2 linked regions of the Rhinolophus ferrumequinum genome follow. The protein of the gene in region 1 purifies or fractionates together with the protein of each later gene. This does not show direct contact. Links are inferred from orthologs where the notes say so. Each region holds a gene or a part of one and is shown on either strand. Other genes may lie near its edges.

Region 1 (10,720 bases):
GGCTCCGACTAAGCCCCCTGGGCCTCTTGAGGGAGAAACCAGGTTCTGCGTGGCGGAAGTAGGCCGGGACGGGGATGGGGGTGCCACTCAGGGGTGTCGGGGTGCCCTCTGTGGGCACAGGCATGGCCAGCACAGGAGGTCCTGAGAGGCAGAATACAGAACAGTGTGGCCACTCAAATAGCGCCTTGTCCTGTGGCCCCAGAAAGGCTGTGGAGGAAAGCCGCGTCTATTCTGCACACATGTTCTGCTTTAAACCTGGCAGCCGTGGGCACACAAGCACCTGCTGGGAAAAGGCAGAGGACAAATATATACACGCCTGCACATGCATCTGTACCTGGAGGTCAGAGAAACATAAACTGAATTGCACGGGGCCATATCCTGGAGGCTTCTACAGTCCATCCGAGGTTGAATCAAGGCAGGTTCTGGAGCCAGGCCACCTGCACATACTTCCCTGCCTCCTCACAACCGCTATTTGACTTTAAAACATGCAGCCTCTTCCAAGACTGTGAGGCGGATATATGCACACAGGGCCACACTTCCTTAACTTCAATTCCAAAGTAAAAAAAGAAGGTCTGATTCCAAAAGTTTCTTCTTTGCTTTCTTATTCATAGTTGGGATGCTGAAACTCATGTAATGGAGTTCCACTCCAGTTCCATGTTGCAGTGGCTAAATTCCAGCTGGGTATAGCGGAGAAGCCGAGTCTCCCTCCTTCCACCAGCCTCTACTAATAGCGTGGGAGCTCTGCCTCAGGTCCAGCAGGCTGGGAATACTGCAGCCCAATCCCTCGAGCCCCAGCTCCTTCCTAGGAAGGAGGTTCCACATTGAGAGAGGCAAGCCTAAGGTAGCAGTGTCACTCAGATGGGTATCACTGTCCCTGCCCCATCTCCAGAGCTGCAGCTCAGAGATTCTGCTTGGGGCAGAGGAAGGTCATAAAACAGACAGCTCCAAAGCCCTCCCTTCAAAAAACTGACTATATTTGAAACAGTGTGGGAAGTTCAAGTTGAAAGGTGCTCTCAGAATCAGTGGAGGTTGGGTAGTAAGCAAATAGGAGGAAGCTGGTGCCTCCATTAGCGCAACAAGCTACACCATGGGCAGGCTAGTTTACCAGAGAGAACCGCGGAAAGAGGTAGTTAAGAGCCTTTCCAGAGTCAGAACAACTTCCAACACTGAACTCAAAAGCGCCCTTCTAAAGGAGTCCAAATTTAATTGCATCAGTCTATGGAGCAATTGATGACCCAGGGTAAAAACAATAGAGCAGACAGCCGGCAACTGGGGAAGCGTAACAGGTGGATGTGATTAGGGAAAGGACAGTCAAAGAGAGCCCCCCCTAAAACCACTGGTGTCCCAGGGTAACTGTGCACAAGCCCCACGCTGGGCCCTCTGAGGAGCAATGTCAGAGGCTTCATATTGCAGAAAGATGTGTCACTACAATGATCTAGGTAGTCACTAAACAAATAGACAAGCAAACAACAATCACAAGTCCCCGAGCGGGTGAGGAACCAGGATCCACAGCTGCTAAAACATTATGTAAAATGTCCAGTTTTCAACCAAAAAAACTAGAAGATATGCAAAGACACAGGAAAGTGTGACCCACACACAGGAAAATAGACAGCAGAAACTGCCTGTAAGATGGACCAGATGTGAGATTTAACAGACAGACTTCAAAATAGCCGCTATAAATATATTCAAAGAACTAAAGGAAACCACGCTTACAGTAAAGGAAGCATGATGACAATATCTCATCAAATGGGAAATATCAATAATGAGATAGAAATTATTAAAATAACCAAATGGAAATTGTAGAGTTGAAAAATGCCATAACTGAAATGAAAAAATTCACTGGAGGGGTTCAACAGATTTGAGGCAGAAGAAATAACTAGTGAACTTGAAGGTAGGTTGATAGAGATTGTGCAATCTGAAGAACAGAGAGAAAAAATGAAGAAAAAGGAACAGAGCTTCAGAGAAATGTAGTGTACCAATATAGGCATAATGAGTGTCCCAGAAAGAGAGAAGGAGCAGGAAATATATGCTAAGAAATAATGGATAAAAACTTCCCAAATATGATTTAGAAGAACATTAACAGAGCCAAGAAGTGCAATGAATTCAAGTAGGATAAATGCAGAGATCCACACACAGACACATCATATTAAAAGTGCTGAGTGAACCAAAACAAGGAGAAAATCTTGAGAGCAGCAAAAGAAAAATGACTCATCACTTACAAGCCTCTCCATAAGATTAACTGCTGAATTCTCATCAGAAACAATGGAGGCCAGAAGGCAACAGGATGACATTCCAAGTGCTGGCGGGGAGGAGGGAGATTTGTAAACCAAGAATCCTGTATCTAACAAAACTATCTTTCAAAAATAAAGGCAAAATAAAGACATTCACAGATAAACAAAATAAAGAATTCATTGCCAACAGACCTGCTTTACAAGAAAAAGTAAAGGAAATTCTTCAGGCTGAAAGCACTGATCCCAAATAGTAATTCTAACCTACATAAAAAAACAAAGATCACCGATTAGGATAAGTATGTAATATAAGACAGAATAAATACATATTTCTTCTCCCTTCTTCTCTTAACTGATTTAAAAAGAATATGTATGTAATTGTATTGTTGAGCATATAACAGAGAAATGTAATATACTTGCAAATAACAGCACAAAGGAGGTGGGTGGGAACAAAACTATATTGGACTAGAAAATGACACCAGATGGTAACTCAAACCCACAGGAATAAATGAAGAGAACGAAAAGTGGTGAATAAGGTCAACATAACAAATATTATGGATATGTACGCTCTTTCCTTTTCCCCCTCAGCTTAAGAAATAAACAACAACCTAAATAAACAGAAAGACATTACATGTTCATAGATCCAAAGACTTAATATGAATGAAATGGCAATACTTTCCAAATTGATCTACGGATTCAGTACAATCCTTATCAGAATCCCAGCTGGATTGTTTGCAGAAATTGACAAGCTGATCCTAAAATTCATATAGACATTCATAGGCCCCAGAATAGTCAAAACAAAACAATCAAAATGAAGTTGGAGGACTTGCACTTCCCAACTTCAAAACTTACTTCAAAGCTACAATAATCAAAACAGTGTGGTACTCACACAAGGATAGATATATATATCAATGCACTAAAACAGAATTCAGAAATAAACCCTCACATTTCTAATCAATTGACTTTGACAAGGGTGCCAAAACAATTGTGGGAGAGAATAATCTTCTCAACAAATGGTGCTGGGACAGCTAGATATCTATATGCAAAAATCATTTAGCAGAAAAATCTGGTCTGACCTACTTTTTTCCTCTCAGTGTGAATATTCATAGATTTCTTGACAGAAATATTAATGTGTTTAATTGTTGGATGATGTCCCAGACTCATGGGTGGTGTTACATATAAATGTTATATGCACCCTATTAGCTTTCTAAAATCTGACATATTTTGAATTCTGAAACACTCCTGGCCTCAAGAGTTTGTGGACCTGTAATGCTGAAGTCAGGGAAGGCTCAGCCCAGTGTCTGGCATGCAGAGTCCTCAATAAATGCTATATAATTATTCATTATATAATAAATAATATATAATAAATAATGCTCTGAGTAGTCATTGAGAGAACACACAAAGTTGCAATGGTCCCATGGGTGTAAGTGACTGTGTATTGGAGCAGAGATACACAAAGATTGTGTATCTGCACCCGGCTGCTGTGTTATTACACAATTACATTGTAATTGAAACAAAAACAAGAAAACAAAAGGGAGAGGAGTTTAATTTTTGAGAGAAAGGCAGTGTATCAAAAGATGCCATACCCAACAAGGGGTGAGTCAGTAACTGAAAAGGGGGCAGTCATCTGAAGTGTGCCCTCCTGTCCCTGGGCGAGTGAGGGCTGAGGGAGGGACCCCCAACAGTGCCATCCTGGAAGGCTCACCCTACATAATGTGTGGACCTTTCCTCTGCCCCTTTTACCTCAGGAATCCTACGGGTTTCTCAAAGTAAAGAACTGGAATGTCAGGATCCCCAGGACGCTGGTTAGAAGCTGGTTAGAAGTATGTACAGCCTCCAGGCGCAGTCCTGGCACATTCTGAGACACTTAAATCTTTTAAGATCTGCATCTTAAACCAGTTGTCAGACCATCCCACTTTCATTTACATTCTAGCACCACTGGCCTGGCCAAACAGCTTTGGGGGTGGGACAGGGAAGGTAGAAGGAGCAGGAGCTCCCGGGAGAATCCAGGGTGGCCCTGAGCAGAGGACGGGCCAGGTGACCTCTGCAGCTTCCACAGGCCTCACCCTCTCACTGGGCTGGACACATCTGCTGACCACGGTCTACCACGCTAGACTGTGAGCTCCTCGCGGGCAGGCCCACAGCTGATTCACCTCCGTGGGCGTGGGGAAACCCTGGCGAACAGAGTAGACCGACTGTCACGGGGGAGGGGCTGTAGGGGGAACGTGAGTGGGGCTTTTCCTGGGGAGGGCCAAATAAGGGAGGGCAGTCGCTAGGGGAAGGGGTTACCAAATGAAAGGGGACAGGGAGGCTGGGGAAGGAGAGAGGGCAGCAAGGGGACTCGCCAGAGAGGCTAGAGGGGAGTGGGAGGGGCCGCCCGGGGCTGGACTGGCCCAGAGAGGGGTTAGCAGATGGGTAGGGCAGAACCCAATTCGACAGGGAAGGGGGGCTGTAGGAGGGGGATGAGGAAGGAGGCTGGAGCGGGGTGAGGCTGACGAGAGGGAGGAGGAGAGGAGGGGAGGGCGGTCCGGCTCGAGAACCCTCAGGGCCGGGCCTGGGCTCACCTGGGGCGAGAGGGCGGGGAGCAGCTCCGCGAGGTCCCAGATTCTGGGTCGGCAGAGGTCGCGGGAGACCTCGGGGGCGGTCAGGAGGGCTGAGGTCTGCCGTCGACAGCTCTCTACGACGGGGCAAGAGGACTCTCTGGAGGGGGAACTGCCCGTGAACGCGCGCGGAACTGACTCGCGCCAAAAATTCCAAACCGGAATCGAGGCCCCGCCCAAGAACTCCTCTTGCCCTGCCCCCTTCCCGATGCAGCCCATCAGAGGCGCCCAGCCTCCTGGGGCTCCGCCCCCTACGTCCCTGCGTGCGGGTCGCCGACCACGCCCCCCAAGCGCCTCAGCCCTTGCGCTCTCATTGCGCAGGCGCAAAGTGTCCTTGGCGCCGGCCCGGGGGCGGGAGTGGCCGCACCGCAGGGCCTGGAGGCTGAGGCGCTGCGCCCGGCCTGAGCCAGCTTTGTGCCCCTTCCGCCCGGTTCTCGGAATGTCGACCGACCCCTAGTTCGCTGTCCCAAAACCCACGTCTCTCGCTGGGCTGACAGTATTCGCGTCTGTAAAAGGAGTGGTCACCGCATTTTGCCCCAGAGGTGTCGCCTCAGGAGGCGATCACCTCAGGGTAGGACTGGAAGTCCCTGCGGCCTCTGGGATCCTGACGGGGCGGAGTCCCCTGGGCTCGCAGGCTCCCCCCTCACACCTGCAGTGCACCACACCGGGGATGTCATGGGCAGGCCAGATAGACATTTCCCCGACCCGCGGAACGCGCGGCTTCTGCTTCAGGAACCAGAACATTCTGCCCCTCTCAGGAAGCCCCCTAGACATCCAGGCCGGATCCCTCCCTACTTCCAGGGCTCAGCCACCTCCGAGGCAGCCCTTACCATCGTTTGGATTTGAGCCTTGAGTTCAGCTCACAGCTACCTCAACTGCTTCCTGGCGGAATGACCTTGGAATGTACTAGGGCCTGAGATTCAGATTAGTCTCCTCTCCCGTGAAAACTGAGCTGGTGAAAGTTACCTCACGGAGCTGGAGGTTCATATGGAATGATCCCCTTAAAGTTCTCAGCAGGGGAGCAGCACAGAGCAGGCGCTGATTCCTAACCTTAGTGCTGCAGGCGTTGCTCCTTCACGGACAGCATCTTTTATCCGTTGAACAAGGCAGGGGGGAGTCACGCTTCCAGGCCATCCTCCCTAGAACCCTCCACATCTCATCATATATCCTTTCCTTTGCGGATTGCACTTATCTCTGTCTGAAATTCTATCCTCTTGGTTCACCCTTTGACCACCCCTCCACCAAGTCTGCAAAGTCAGGGACTGCAGGGTTCCCAGCCCACTGCGCTCCTGCCCTTCAGCGAACACTCTCCAGTTAATGGACCAGCCCGTCCCACATCAGGCCCAGAACTTCTCTGGGGCCTGCAGCCCCCACCCCCTCCATGCACCGGTCCTTTGCACTAGCACCTCTGGCAGCCACAGCCCCTGTGACTCAGACTGAACCCCTGTTAAGGACCCCAGACTTGTCCCCAGGAGGCCTGAGAAGAAGGCAGGCCCCTCCCCAGCTACCATCCCCTCTGCCAGCCCCATCTCCAGGACTTTGGGACTCAGGCCCCTTTCCAACTGCTCATTCTTGGAAGTTATTCACAATGACTTAAAAAAAAATTATACATACATATATATATATATATATATATATATATATATATATATATATATATATATATATATATTTCTTTTTAATTCAAAACATGCTTCCAATGGACATTTCACTGTGTGGAAGGGATATAATGTAAAGCTAAGTACAGATAGCAGGTAAGAGCATGGGTCATAGAGTCAGGGCAATTAGGGCTCCTATGCCACACAAAAGCTGTGCAATCATGGGCAAGTTGCTTTATGTCTCTGGGCCTGTTTCCACATTTGTAAAATGGGGATAATAATAGTTCTTACCTTCTTGGGGTATGAGCATTAAATGAGAAAATGCATGTGAAATGCTTAGCACAGAACCTAGCACACAGAAGGAGCTTACTCTCTTTAATAATAACAGTAACACTCCCTCATTTGTATAGTATTTTGCAGTTTTCAAAGCAGCTTCCTGGTTCAAAAGGAGGAACCTGGAGGAGAGGGGCCGGGACTTTTGCACCCGGGGTCACAGGGATTCGAGACCAAAGCGCTTGGCTGGGGATCAGTCCAGGAAGAAACCCCCAATCCCGGCCCAGGCGCGGGATTCCCGGGGTCCGGTCGCACACCCAGGTAAGAGCCGGTTTGGGCCGCGCACGCCCCCATGTGTCCCGTCGCGGCAACAGCACCGCGACCCCGCCCGGACTACCCCCCCCCCTCCCCCGCCACACACACACCGGGATGTCCCTTCAGGGATGGGGCCACAAAACAGGATACCGTGAGATAAGAAAGGTAAGGAAATGACGGCCACTTACGCAAACCTGGCTACATAGCAGGAAAGAGGAGATCGTGATGGGTACTTCTGGGGAATCTGGCCTTGTTCTATTTTTTGACCTTGGAGCCAGCTGCATAGGTGTTTGCTTTAATAGATATTTATTATATTGTACATTTCTGTTTTATGCACGCTTCGGAATGTATGCCATATTTCACACTGGCATAAGGTTTTAATAAACTAACAAGTGGGTGAGGAGAAGAAGTTAACAAAGGTCAGCTTTGCACAGTGCAAGTGCTTAGGGATGCCTGGGAAAGTGTCTCAGAGATGCTAATCCCGCGATTGGGGCTGAAGAGCTGCCAGATAGATTGCTGAAGGGGCGACCTAAGGAGCCTTTAGTATAGCTGCGGGTTCAGAAGGTGTCTGCCCTGCAGGCGCCTGGCCACCCCTCCAGCTGTCATCCCCAAATTCCCACCCTGGCAGGTGCTGCTACCATGAGCAGCTGGCTGGGAGTCTACTGACACAGGCTGTGCCATTTTAGGCGATGTACTTCCTGGGCCTCCATCTTGAACTTTTAACACCCCAGCTGTCACCTTGTCCTGGGCTTCTAGCTCTACCCGTCAAAGTTGCTCCTGTAGCCAGAGCCTGGGCCATGTGCCCTCATGCCTGGGGGTAAAGGGTAACTCAGGTCCAGGCTCCATCAGGGGTTCTTTTAGCCCCCAAGTGGTTGATGCGCTCTTAGGCCCTCCTTGCCTGGGTAGAGCTGGGGCTGAGCTGACGGGATCGGCTGTGCTGGAAGTGGGGGTGTCAGCAATGCAAGGGCTGTGGGTACCCAACTGGGCCCAGCCCTGGTCCTGAGTGGCATCAAGCTGGCCCAAGGCCCCTGGCTGGCTGACTGGCATTTCCCACAGGCCCATGCCAGCACCCAGGCAGCCTGGCACTGGTGGCGGGCACCAGCATTCCCTCTAGCAGTGGCCAAGCAGGCACCCGGCCTGTACCTCCTGCATGGCCCCTCCTGGTCTTCCCGCCTGCCTCCTCTTGTGCCAAGTTTCCCTGGCACCCTGCAGGGTGAGCTGACTGTCTGTGTGTCTGGGTCTGTGTGGGGGGCCCTCAGCTATCCCAGGTCTGAAACAGATACCTTGGGCCCAGACTGGCATGAGGCAGGCAAAGAGCAATGCAGTGTCTGGGGCAACTGGTCTTGTTGCTGCCCAGAAGTGTGTGGAGTATCAGAGGGCAGAGGACGGTGGACTCAGGGGGCGCTGTACACTGCCAGGCTTCAAATCCCAGCCCTGCTGCTTAGGGGGTATACAATCGGAGCTAAGTCCCTTCTCCTCTCTGCCTCTGTTTCCCCATCTATAAAATAGGGTCCAAAGTAGCTCCCCCAATAGCCCTAACACGGTGGTACCATTAGTGTCGTAATTTTAAAGAGAAAACAGACTCAGGGAGGGCAGATTCCTGCTCAAGCTCCCCAGCCAGGTAGACTGAGTACTTGAAGCCAGTCTGAATCCGAATCCAGCACCCAGCCTGCTAACCATGAGGCCACTCAGCTGCCCTCCATGAGGATACCAGGGAGCCAGTACCTCCTGCCCTGGGGAGAAGCAGGTGGCCTGGCAGAAAAGCCCTCTCCAAGGAGCCTGCCTGGACTGTCCTAGGTATTCCAAGCTCTCATGGGTGGTTGGAGTCAGGGGCCACCCCTGAGCCACTCCCAGCAGCCAATGGCAGGTCCAGCCTCCAGGACTCCGGGTCACGGCTCTCTGCTGGACAGGGCAGGAGGTGGGTATGTGGGGTGCTCTGCCAGGGCATTGGGCTGAGAGGACCCAGCCGGAGCCTTGTGCAAAGGTGGGTCTATGGGTACCATGGGTAGGGTTGTATGTGTGTGTGTGCACGTGCACATGCCCTCAGACAAGCATGATCCCTGGCTGTGGGCCCTCGTGTGTGGGGAGAAAACACAGCAGGGGTACAGCCCAGGGTGGGTGTGCAGGCACAGCTCAGTGTTGGGGGAACTATAGGTGAGCGGGTACTGGGGAAAAGCCCTGCAGTCCAGTGAAGGCTGGATCTGCCCCCATAGGTGTTGTGGGCTCAGAGGCCTCACACAAGAAACAACACCCCCCGGCTGCCTACTCCTCACTGAAGCCCCTCTCGAGGTCCCCCACTCCGCCAGGCCGCCTGGTTTGGCAGGCCGGACTCCTTAGCCACAGGTGCCAGGAGGCGCTGGCAGGGCAGGGGGCAGGCCAGCAGATACACAGGGTGTTGGGCCTTCTGGACTAGAGTCCAGGAACTGAGTCATTGCTGTCCCCAGCCCACCTAGTGGGATCCACAGACTCACTGGAGGAGGGGAAGGCTGGTATCCAGACCCCCAACTCCTGGCATTTCCCAAGCCGGCCTCTCCTGCCCTCCCAACTTGGCTCCCCACCAAGCCCCCTATGCCTGGTTCAGCTCCATTTGCCCACCCTCTAGGAATGGAAAGTGGTTACTAGCCCCCCAGGCACCCATTTTTGCAATCCTGCCCCCACCAAATCCTGAGCAGTGGCCCCCTGAGCTTCTGTTCCCAAAAATTAGAGCCGGTGCTGCTGGAGTTCAGCAGCAGATGGAGGTGAAGCTCGGAGGGCCTCCTGCTGCAGGTGGGCCCTGATGGAGTCTTCAAGAAACAGCAAGGATCCTTGGACAAGCCTGAGCCTTGGGTGACCCGTTCCTGTAGTTACTGACCCTCGTGGAAGGGAGGCTTCAGGCCCACTTTCAGCCTCAGGTGGGAACAAAAGGCCATCTCCCCGTGTCATAACTGTGGCCTTCAGGGTTAATAGTCTCTCTTCTTGTAGGTAAGTCTACTTGTCAGATACAATTGGCTACAGTTACCTCGCCCCAGGCCTTTGTAACACTGTGGCCTCTGCCTTCTCTCTCTCTCTCTCTCTCTCTCTCTCTCTCTCTCTCTCTCTCTCTAACACAGTAACTCATTCTGAGTCTCCCCTGCCAGTCACACCCACATTTCTGGGCCTGGCTCCCCCCTCTCCCCAGCTGTGTTTGGGCTGGGCCAGGGGTGCCCCCTGGTGCCTGCCTGCTCTCACCAGCTGAGCCTCCAGACCTGGCGCCAGGGCCCCAGGCCCTGACAGGGGTGGAGGAGGCTTGGGGGCCAGGTGGGGGCCTGTCCTGGCTGTCAGCGCCCATGATGGATGAGGGGTGGGGCGGGGGAAAGGCCAAGGACTGGATTCCTGCTCTAGAGGGAGGTGGGGTCTGGCCCCCTGGGATCTGACAGCAGAGCCTCTGCCAGTGGGGAGGCCTGGGTGAGGGCCCCCACCCAGCAGAGGTGTTTAAAGGCGGGAAGGCTGTGTGCCCTCCCACTCTGCCAGGCATCATGGGCACCTGGGCCTTCCTCACAGCCCTTTTCCTGCTCTGCCTGACTTCTGAAAGTCTGCAAGGCGGTGAGGGCAGGCGGCTGGCAGCTGCAGGGTCTGGGCAGCTGGGGTTGAGGCTGCGGGTCTTGGTAGAGCATTGGGTCAGAGAGAGGGAGGATCGGGTGTGTGAAGTCTGGGCTGAGTAGGATTTGGGGAGGCTGGGTCCTGCTCC
Region 2 (10,946 bases), on another chromosome or scaffold:
AAAACAAAAGCTTGTTTTTTGACAAGTTATTTTTTGCAGATAGAAAAATACATTATTTTTCACTCATGGTATTTTATTTACTATAAAATTGGAGCCCTCTAGTGAGGGAAAGAAATCAGTCATTCAAAAATAGTTATTCTGGCATATCACCGAATGTCAAGATTACCAAAAAATTTCCAACAACCGCTATTTTAATTCAGTTAATGCTTTTCAATAACAAAACTTACCTGGCTCATGAATCATGTAATGAACCCAGCCTAGACTCTGTTGGACACCAAGTCTCCTCCACTCCTCTTCAGACATCAGATGGGTTTTGGGTACTTGTTTAGAAAGTTCCCTGGGTAACATGACATGCCTGTTTTAAGAGATAGCCAAGTATTAATACTCTGCAAATGTGCCTTTTTTACAGTTATGATCACTTAATACACGCATCTTTAGGATGTTTAAAATTTGAGATTTTTGTCCTCAAAACAAAGTTCTTTAAAGCAATTGTCGTATTATGTCAATTTGCATTGATCTTGAGAACTATTCTCTACCTTTAATTCTGATTTTTGATAGCCCATGTTCAAATTAGGGAGATAATAAGAATATGCAATCCAAAAACAAAAAGGCATCTTATTCAGGATTAACCTTTTCCCCCCAACAAAGAGGGCTTGCTACTGGTCTCAATCTTTTTCAGGAATAGAACCCCCAAAATGAAGTTGGACACAGTTATCCAAAACATCCAGCCTTCCCTGCAGCTACCTCTGGTCATGTGACTAAATCCTAGGCAATAGGATATAAACAGATAATAGGTTAACTTATGGAAAGTGTCCTCAAAAGGAAAGTACACGCCCAACTATACTCTTTTTTCTCCTTCCTGTTGATTATGAAGCAGAATGACCTGATCAGGGAGCTAGAGAAGCCATCCAAGACCACAGAAGCTATTGTAAATTGAGGATAGTCCCTGATTATAGACCTGTCATCCCAGCTTCATGTAGCCTTTTACATAAGGAGAAAAAAAATATCTAATTTTTTAGTTAATTAGGGTTTCCTATTACTCAACATTGTAGATTTGTAGTAGATACAAATCTTGTATCTACTTGTATACTGCAGAAGTTGCTTTATACTCTGTTCAGAATGAATAAAAAACAAACACTAATCACACATATATATGTACCTGCTACCTGACACAGACCTTTAGTTTTCCAGTTAAGTTAGACCTATACCCAAAACTTAAGTTTTTTGAGGAAGGTATGCGATAGTCTTCAATGTCAAAACATCAAGAATATGTACAATTGTAGCTTTGTTACATTCTCAAAGACAAATCCGTACACCCCTTATTACATATAAAGATCTTTATAAAAATCACAACTCCCAGCCCTATTTTTACCATTTCCAGGTAGTACTAATTTTGTACAGTCATACATATTCAACCAATTTTTTTGACCAGTATAGGATATCTACCTGTGAGTCAGTTGGCTAGAAGTGAGAAAGGTATAACTGGTTATTTTCTGGCACACAGGAAAAGTGAACCCATTGTAAGTACTCATCTGTCAGCAACTAAGCCAATCTGTGGCTGGTTAGTTAAGTATCAATTTTATGTAGAACAAAAATAAACCTTAGAAGAATTGTGCTATGCAAGTAGATTGCCATGAGGCCAAGTCAAATTATGCATACTATCCTGGTTAAAATTTCACCAATTCCAGTGAACTGCATGGTGATTCTTAGTAATACTTACCAGCTACCTTATTCGTTCTTGGATTGCTGCTTTAACATCTCCTTTTAAGGCTCTGCAAATAACCTATAATCTTACTTCTATCACATTGTTGATTAGTCTCAAAGAGAAATGTAATGCTAACTAAACTTGTACTATTATGTATACCTACATAAATGCACCAACATGTTATTTAGATAGAAGTCACAACCCCTACCTTCTCCATAAAGCATGGGAACAGGCTCACCTTCATCCAAGTTTGATTATAAAAGAAAAATTTATAAGTAGCTTCAAGCTCACATAGAAATTCTACCTGTATTTAACTGCATGGAGATAGTTTTCTAACTACATGTAAGAAAAATTATTTCCAAAACTAAGTGTTTATTTCAGTACCATGGGCTTGTCACGGAGGGGAGGAGGGTAAAGGCCAATATAAACAGCTACATATAGGCCAATATAAAGGAGCTACAACAAAGATGCAATTAGGAGGGCAGACAACAGTTGTGGATAGGATTTTTTTAAAAAAAAATACTAACATAAAATTTTTATAAATTTAAATCCATACAACCCTATAATACTTGTTTCAGACGGTATTTAACAGAACTAAGTTTTGAAGTTCATTTACAAAATAACCTAAGTAAAGGGAATAGGAAATTAAGTTTGCATTTACAAAACACAAAGATGTAGGCAACTGCACACTAGCAAAAATAAATACTTTTGAAATTCACATTGCATGTTGCACCACCATATACAAACCACCCTAGACTCACACCTCAGTGATTTATTATCAGTATCAACTTGCCTTTAAAAGTATCTCTGGAGATTAATCACTGTGCTGTTTCTGTAAGGCAAGTGGCTTGGTCAAGAAGGACCATTATCTTTAATTAATAATAGATTAGAATATATCACTTCAGATACGACAGGATTTTCTTCTACACATTAGTATACACAAACCAGTTAGGCTAAAATTTTGACAGCGCAGTCTACTTAAGTGCTCATCGATAATTGTTAGTATATTGACAATAAAAAATGAAACTGCCAGAAGTCCTAAAAAGTATCCTAATCTACTAGAGCCAGATGTGTTTCAGAATATTAATATTTTTTCCATATTTTAGAAACGTAATACAGTTTACATTCTGTCCACTATTGGATATCCCCAGCTGGGCTCTTGGTCGATGTCACATAATTGAACATTATGCCAATATATTACAGGATTGAAACTGTACCATGTAGTTACTATATAAAAATAAGATGATCGACTTCAAATTTATCTATATCCAGAAAAACAAGATTTTTCTAGCTAAGAATATGAAACAATGCACGTATTACTAATCTGTAAAACTGCATCAGTTTTTCTCCTGAGAATACAGACTTCCAATACAACAAGAAGAGAGAGGGAGAGAGAGAGAGTGAGCAAACACTATGCCCTTTCTACCTCAAATAGCATTCTTGGAAATCTAACTTGAAAGGACAGCAGGCAGAAACAAGGTCACTGCTTGGCCCCAAATGCAGCTTCCTAGTCACCATCCAGGAGAACAGGGTAGGATTGGTCTTTGAAGCCACGCCCCAAGGAAGTCTCCTGCAGACAATAAGGCCAATAAACGAAGTGGTCCTTCCCTCCCACAATCCAAGTTGTTAATTTTACAGATTAATTTTAGCAACTACGTTCTAGTGCAGCACATCACGACTCAGAAACCAAAAATTCCTCAAAGCGAAGATCTGGCCAGTATATACTGAGACACACACACACACACACACACAAATGCCCAAAGTCCACACGAGTTCTCAACTTAGTCTTAAATGTGAAACCCCTTTGATAATGCCCTTAAGTCATCATGGTTAACGCACAAACGCCTACCCAAATCACCATACGCAATAAACATTTAAAAATTCCAAAAAGCGAAGTTTTCGGGGTTTCCCCCTCAAAGTCATTTTTAGCATCACTAACTTCAAAAGCAAGGAGAAAAAGTGTTTCTCCCACCCTCCACACCACAGTGACTGGGAGAGAGGAACTACTTCGAGAATGCCAACTAGCTCGCAAGTTCTTAGGCACCGCGGCACGGGTGGAGTAGGGCTCTCGCCGCTGGATGTCGGCCACTGGCCCGCCCAGAGCCCGAGTGACGACTGGACGTGGCGGAGGACCCGGGTCCGCTTCGGTCCTTCCGCCTGTTCCCTTTAAGGTAGCAACTCGTCACCAGAAGTGGCCCCCATCTCCGCCCCTGCCTCATCCTTCTCACAGACGGAACAAAGAGGGGAGGCTGGCTGTGCCCGTAAAGGCGAAATAAGGGGCGCGCTCTGGCCCCGACCACAACCCGACACGCTTCCATCCTCACAAGGCCCCTACTCCAACTCCCGGCCTCGACCTTGACCCGACCTCCGGCCCCCACACGAACACCGGCCCTCCCTGGGCAGCGGCTGAGGAAGCCCGCCCACTGGCCCACTTACCGGTACTCGTAGTGCTCGTCGAAGTACTTGTCTGAGTAGTAGATCTGCTTGTGGGCCATCCTGCCGGCAGGTAGGCGGCGCGGAAGGGGAGCGACCGGGCAGGAAGAGCGGGCGCAGCTGAGGGAAGGTGTGCGTCCGGCCAAAGCAACGACTCAACTGCAACCAACAGACCGCAGGCCTAACGATCCTGGTTTGAATCCGACAGCCCGCCGCTGATTGGACAAAGAAGCCGACCAATCACCTTTTGTGCAAACTGCGGGAAGGCGGGGCCGGCTTCCAGCCTATCGTTGCCGCTGCTCCGCGACGTTCACTCCCAAGATCAGCCACTCAGTGGCTTGTTGCGAGGTTGCCCGAGGGAAGAAGTGAATGATTGGCATGGCGTGGAGGCGGGGAGCTCTCTGACGTAAGGGGCGTGACCAGGAAAGGGTGCAGGGGGTTTAGAACTTTCCAGGTCTGCAGAGCCGTTAGGGCGACGAACTTGTGGGACGGATGAGATATCGCGGTGTTTGGCGATGCCAGGGCGGGGCTGCCCGCCGCGAGGCCGCTTGTGCGCAGGCGCAGGCTCGGGGCGCATTTCCCGGGTTCCGCGTCCTAGGTCTGTAGAAGATAGGGAAAGCCAAGGTTTGGGAACTTTGAGGGCACCCAGCTTTTTGGGGAGAGTAGGAACGTGAGGAAGCCGAGGTTGTTCCGCCTGGAACTCTTCAGAACCCTGCAAGAGTGCTGCGTGAACGATAGGGCCGGGGCTGAGCACTAGAGGCCTGACGTGAGGTAAAACATGTATTCCCACGCCTTGAGCATAATTCATAACAACTCTAGATAAGCATGTGTATACGCGTGCTTTTCTTAATGCAAAATGTAAAAACGATTATTAAAATAATAACGTTTCCTACCGGACAAAGGGATTAAAAGTGGTTTTTAAAACTTTTTGGCTCTTAGTATTGAGCCCTAGTTTAAAATACATGCACATGTAAAATAAAGTTACTGGAAGGAAATATGCCAAGATGTAAGTGGTTCTTTTTAGATGACAATTAAAAGTGACCTTTTTTGTATTTTTCACATTTCCCTAAATGAGAATGTGTTATGTTTGTAGTAACGATCTTGATTCAGTGTTAGTTGCAGCATAGTACAGGTGAGAGCATAGACGGGCCCGCTACCCTCCCCCAACCCAACACCCGGTGGCCCTTCACCTTCAGCTCTCAGGTTAAGGATCAGTCTCCTGAAACGGCTTCCTTATACCCTGTGCTCAAGAAGTCCCCGCTTTCCCCGTTCCTGTCCCTCCTTAGCGTCTTTGGAGTTTCCAACCCACTGGTCCTTTGTTGCATGCTTGCTGGGGTTTTGTCTGCCCCCCCTACATAACCCGGTGATGAGGGCATGTCTTTCATTCACTGCTCTACCCAGGACATAGTAGAGTCTCTTGCACATGATGAGCAATAAGTTTTAAGTAGTAAGTGATAGTAATGTATGCCCAAATAATCAGGTGTGATTATGTGCTGGTAAAAATACGAATAAACTGCTAAGGTAGATGGATAAGGAAATCACTAACTGTCTGGCAGAACCTGGGAAAAAAGTTTCCTAGGACATACACCAGGGGTGCCAAAAAATATATATACACATAACTTGTATTCATTTTTTGTTACCAGCATACATCGAGTATTACAATTTTAATAGTTTTTTTCCTTTCTTAAAATGTGTATACATTTTTTGGCACCCTCTGTATTTTTACAGAGATGTATTGTGGAAAATTTCAAACACACAAAAATACAATAGTATAATCAACTCCCATGTACCAGTCACTCAACTTCAGCAATAAACGTTTTGCCCATCTTGTTTTATCTATTCCTCTCTCTTTTTTTTTTTTTGCTAGAATAACTTTAAAGATATCCCAAATATAATGCCATTTTACTCTGAAATAATACTTCTGTATATATATCTGTCTTTATGGTGTACATCTCAAGAAAAAATTTAAAATATACATTTAGTACCATGTCATTACACTTAATAATTCTTCATCATTCTCTGACACCTGTTTTAGATTGATTTCCCTGATTCACAGATGCCTTTTTTATAGTTGGTTGGTTTGGATCCGCATCCAAACTTGGGCCTACACATCGAATTTGGTTATTGTCTCTTTAAGTTTTTATACAATCTCCTCTGCTGACAGACCACCTTTTTTAAATATAGGTTTATCAGAAAAACCAGGTCATTTTTGCCTGTGGAACATTCCACAGTCTGGATTTGGGTAATTGCTTCCTATGGTATAATTTACTTTGTTTTTCCTATAATCTGGTATTTAGATCTAGGGTCAAACAACAGCAAAAGTTTGTCCAAATCCATTTAGCAAGTAAGTGGCAGACTCAGATATGAGCCCAGTCTGACTCCAGACTTAGGCCTCTTAATCTATCATACACTACCTCTTGCCTTTCCAATAGAAGGATTGTCATGGTGAAGGCGTGAGGAAACTTCCTATATGCACAGAATGCTAAATGGGGTTGGTTTAGAGTATAGAGGTCATGGAAAGGAAAGTTGTGGGAATTAAATCTGGGAGGATGAATGTGGTAAGCAAAAAAATGGCCCCCAAAGATGTCCACATCCTAATCCCTGGAACCTACAAATGTATTCACATCAAAAGGGACTTTGCAGATGTGATTAAGTTAAGGATCTTGAGATAGATTATACTGGATTATTGGGAGGGCCCAATGGTATTACAAGGGTCCTTATAAGAGGGAGACAAGAGGGTCAGAGAAAGCTGTAACAAGAAGTCAGAGAGGCATCACCAGGAACCTAGGAATGTAGATAGCCTCTAGAAGCTGGAAAAAGCAAGGAATGGATAGATGTCCTCTAGTCTCCAGAAAGGACACCTCTCTGCTAACATCTAAATTTTAGCCTGTTTAAGACGTATTTCAGACTTCTGACCTCTGGAAATATTGGATGATAAATTTGTGTTTGCTTTAAGCCACTAAGTTTGTGGTAATTTGTCAAAACAGCAATAGGAAACCAATATAATGGATTGGGCCAGACTGGGGAGGGATTTTTTGCTAAGAAATTTGGTCATTTTTATTAACGTAGGGCCAGCTAATGTTTTCAGCAAGGAAGTGGCACAGTCAGATCAGATGTGACAAAGGTAATGAGAGGAATGTGGAGGATAGACTGGAAGGAATGTCCTTAACAGGGACACCCTGTTACAAAGTTATTACTGTTGATAGGATGAGTTTGAGTAGGAAGGGACAGACTTGCAATTTCAAAGCTAGAACCAACAGGGATTGGATTTCTGCTTTTTTTGAAGTGGGTCTTTCAAACAAGCCCTGCTTCCTTTCAAACAGGAAGTTTAGGTTTTGATTGGTGTTTACATGGTAAAAAGGCAACTGGTAAGATTAGAGCATGCTCGAGTTATCATGGATCTCCAACAAGTATCTAGAACTTTCCTACCCCACTAACAGGCCATTAGTGCAGTGACAAAATTCATTTGCAAAATTGCCGTAGTTGGTCCATATTCACTCATTCAGCAAATACTTATTGAGCACTCTTCCTAGTATGTTATATTCAATTTATGTTTGAAAATTACAGAAATAAAAATTATTCTTACAAAATTTAAAAGAAATTTACAATATCAGAAGTAAGATGCCTACTTGCTTCTTACCCAACAACCCCAGATCACAGATTTAACCACTGAAAACAATATGGTATATTATTTACGTAGACTTTTTCCTATACCTAATTCAGATGTATCACTCTCAGAACTAGAATATATGCATATTCTTACTTTATAAAATATTCTACAGCTTGCTTTTTCACTCTCCTTCTGGGATTCCACTGACATGAATGGCCATTTCATAGCTCTTACGAGGTCTTTAGTGTTCTGTTGAAAGGATGTTCAAGATTGTCCCTTATGCCTGTACTGGCCCATCCTGGTCTCTAACTGATTATTATAAATGTGAGAGTACCATAGGGCTTAGTCCCTACACTGCTTCTCCTTTTAGTTCTGTCAGTTTTTGCTTCATGGATTCTGTAGCTCTGTTACTCGATGCATGTAAGGTTGCTAGGTCTTCATGGTGAATAGATATTTTATCATTATGTAATGTCCCAATTTGTCCTGGTAATTTTCTTTGCCTTGAAGTCTACTCTGATATTAATATAGCTATTCCACCATACTTTTGATTGGGCTTTGTGTCCTATAGCTTTTTACATCATTTTACCTTTAACCTACCTATATCATTATATTTGAAGTGAATTTTTTGTAGGCATTATATAGTTAGGTAAAAATTTTTTATCCATTTTTCCAATCTTTGTTTTTAAATTGGTGTTTGAGACCATTTACACAATGTAATTATTGATGTTAGGCTTTAAGTCTGCCATTTTACTATTTTCTGCTTGGTCTCTCTGTTTTTCCTTCATGTGCTTTGCCTTTACTGTCTTCCTGTACTGGCTCAAGAAACCACAAGAAGACTGAAGAATCCTATATCTATTAAATTGGAGCAGTAATTAAAAGTCTTCTCCTAAAGAAGACACTAGACCCAAATGGCTTTATAGAAGAATTTTACCAAACTTTCAAGTTTTATGAAGTTTATTCTATTAGGCAAGAATAATGCTGATTTAAAAAGTGAGTACAATCACATAGGACCCTGCACTTGGGATTTAAAGCTCTGCTGTCATGTCTGGAAATTCTTAACAATTTAATCTTTAAATTTGTGTTTTGTAAGTGAAGTTGCTCTGTTTGTAAATGGCACAAGGGAGCCTGTACTGAGGGTTGGAAGCCTCAGTTCACATGAAGCCCTGCCTCTTACTCCTCCCCAGGTAGGTTCTTTGCCATGGTTTTCACAACCCTCTGGTTCCCAGACCTGACCCAGTCTGCCTCTCACTAGTCTCCCAGCACAGGTGGTAGTCATCTGCAGATTACTTTATGGCTCATGCTAGGTGGCCCTTGGCAGAGCACAGGCTGTGGCTGAATTTGGACTGCAGTGGGGCTCCTCCCAGAAGGCTCTAGGACTGGCACATCAGGTTCGGACCCAGCTGGAGCAACACCCTGTCACCAACAGGGATAACACACCCAAAGGGCAGACTGGGCAGGCACCAGAGCCCTGCTAAACAATTCTACTCCATAGGGTCAGCCCCTGCACAACAGCTCCTCCACTGTAGTCACAACCAGTTCTCACATTCAATCAGCCCAAGGATCAATCCTTCCCATTGATATGCAAACAGCAAACAGGGCTTAACTACAACAGGAGGGTGTACACAACCCACATAAGGGACACACCTGGAGCATCCTGCTCAGGTGACCAGGGAGACTGCACAATTGGGCCCTACAGGACATCTACTACATAAGGCCTCTCTACTAAGACTGGGAGACATAGTAGCCCTACCTAATACATAAAAACAAACACAGGGAGGTAGCCAAAATGGGGAGACAAAGAGACATGTCCCAAATAAAGGAACAGAACAAAGCTCCAGAAAAAGAACTAAGCAAAATGGAGACAAGTAATCTACCACTGGTTATAAGGATGCTCAATGATCTCAGGGAGAACTTCAACAAAGAGATAGGATATATAAAACTAGAGATAGAAAACAAAAAAAAAACAACAGTCAGAAATAAAGAATACAATAACCGAAATGAAGAATACGTTAGATGAAATAAACAACCGATTAGATGAAGCAGAAGATCAAAGCAACAATTTAGAAGCTAAGGTAGCAGAAAACACCCAAACAGAACAGCAAAAAGAAAAAAGAATCCAAAAAAATGAGGATAGTTTAAGGGATCTTTGGGATAACATCAAGTGTACCAACATTCGCATCATAGGAGAACCAGAAGAAGAGAGAAAGCAAAGAATTGAAAACCTATTTGAAAAAAATAATGATTGAAAACTTCCCTAATCTGGCAAAGGAAATACATATATAAGTACAAGCCCAGGAAGCACAGAGTCCCAAACAAGAGGAATACGAAGAGGCCCACACCAAGACACATCATAATTGAAATGCCACAGAAAGAATCTTACAGCAGCAAAAGAAAACTTGTTAGTTACCTCCAAAAGATCTCCCATAATACTGTCACCTGATTTCTCAACAGAAACTTTGTAGGCCAGAGAGATTGGCATGAACTGTTCAAAGTGATGAAAAGCAAGGACCTACAGCCAAGACTACCCAGCAAAGCTATCATTTAGAATCGAAGGACAGATAAAAAGCTTCCCAGACTAGAAAAAGCAAAAGGAGTTTGTCACCACTAAACCAATATTACAAGAAATGTTAAAGGGACTTCTTAAAAAAGAAGGAGGAGGAGCAAGAAGAGGAGGAGTAGGAGGATAGGAAGGGGGGAAGGAGGAGTATATAAAATATGAATAATAAAATGGCAATAACTACATATCTATCAACAATTAGTTTCAATGTAAATGGGTTTAATGCTCCAATCAAAAGATAAGGTGGCTGAATAGACAAGATAATAAGACCCTTACATATGCTGCCTACAAGAGACTCACTTCAGAACAAAAGACACACACAGAACAGTAAAGGGTTGGGGAAAAGATACTTAATGAAAATGGAAACAAGCAAACAAATAAAAAGCTGGCGTAGCAATACTTATACCAGACAAAATAGACTTTAAAACAAAAGCTATATCAAGAGACAAAGAAGGATCCAGTAATCCCACTTCTGGGTATTTACCAGAAGAAACCCAAAACGCTATTTCGAGGGGACACATACATCCATACATTCATTGCAGCATTGTTTATAATGGCCAAGATGTGGAGGCAGCCTGGGTGTCCGTCAGTGGATGAATGGCTAAAGAAAAGGTGGTACATATATACAATGGAATAATGCT

What was found.
Region 2: the proteins of PKMYT1 (region 1) and CKS2 purify together in Homo sapiens (affinity purification with mass spectrometry; 3 studies listed by BioGRID and IntAct, counting the BioPlex papers as one, with this or other methods). This does not show direct contact. The link is inferred for Rhinolophus ferrumequinum from reciprocal best matches to the Homo sapiens genes PKMYT1 and CKS2.

The regions. Positions count from the first base shown.
Region 1 is NW_022680357.1:4,482,054-4,492,773, forward strand, and holds the start of PKMYT1 (membrane-associated tyrosine- and threonine-specific cdc2-inhibitory kinase), read right to left. Parts: upstream 4,978-10,720; 5' UTR 4,793-4,977; intron 4,403-4,792; exon of another isoform or gene 4,295-4,402; intron 2,442-4,294; exon of another isoform or gene 2,424-2,441; intron 284-2,423; exon of another isoform or gene 142-283; 5' UTR 125-141; coding exon 1-124. Other genes in the region: GREP1 (glycine rich extracellular protein 1), read left to right, coding at 10,509-10,575. UniProt on the Homo sapiens protein: Acts as a negative regulator of entry into mitosis (G2 to M transition) by phosphorylation of the CDK1 kinase specifically when CDK1 is complexed to cyclins. Mediates phosphorylation of CDK1 predominantly on 'Thr-14'. Also involved in Golgi fragmentation.
Region 2 is NC_046295.1:4,648,494-4,659,439, forward strand, and holds the start of CKS2 (cyclin-dependent kinases regulatory subunit 2), read right to left. Parts: upstream 4,355-10,946; 5' UTR 4,201-4,354; coding exon 4,142-4,200; intron 356-4,141; coding exon 228-355; intron 1-227. UniProt on the Homo sapiens protein: Binds to the catalytic subunit of the cyclin dependent kinases and is essential for their biological function.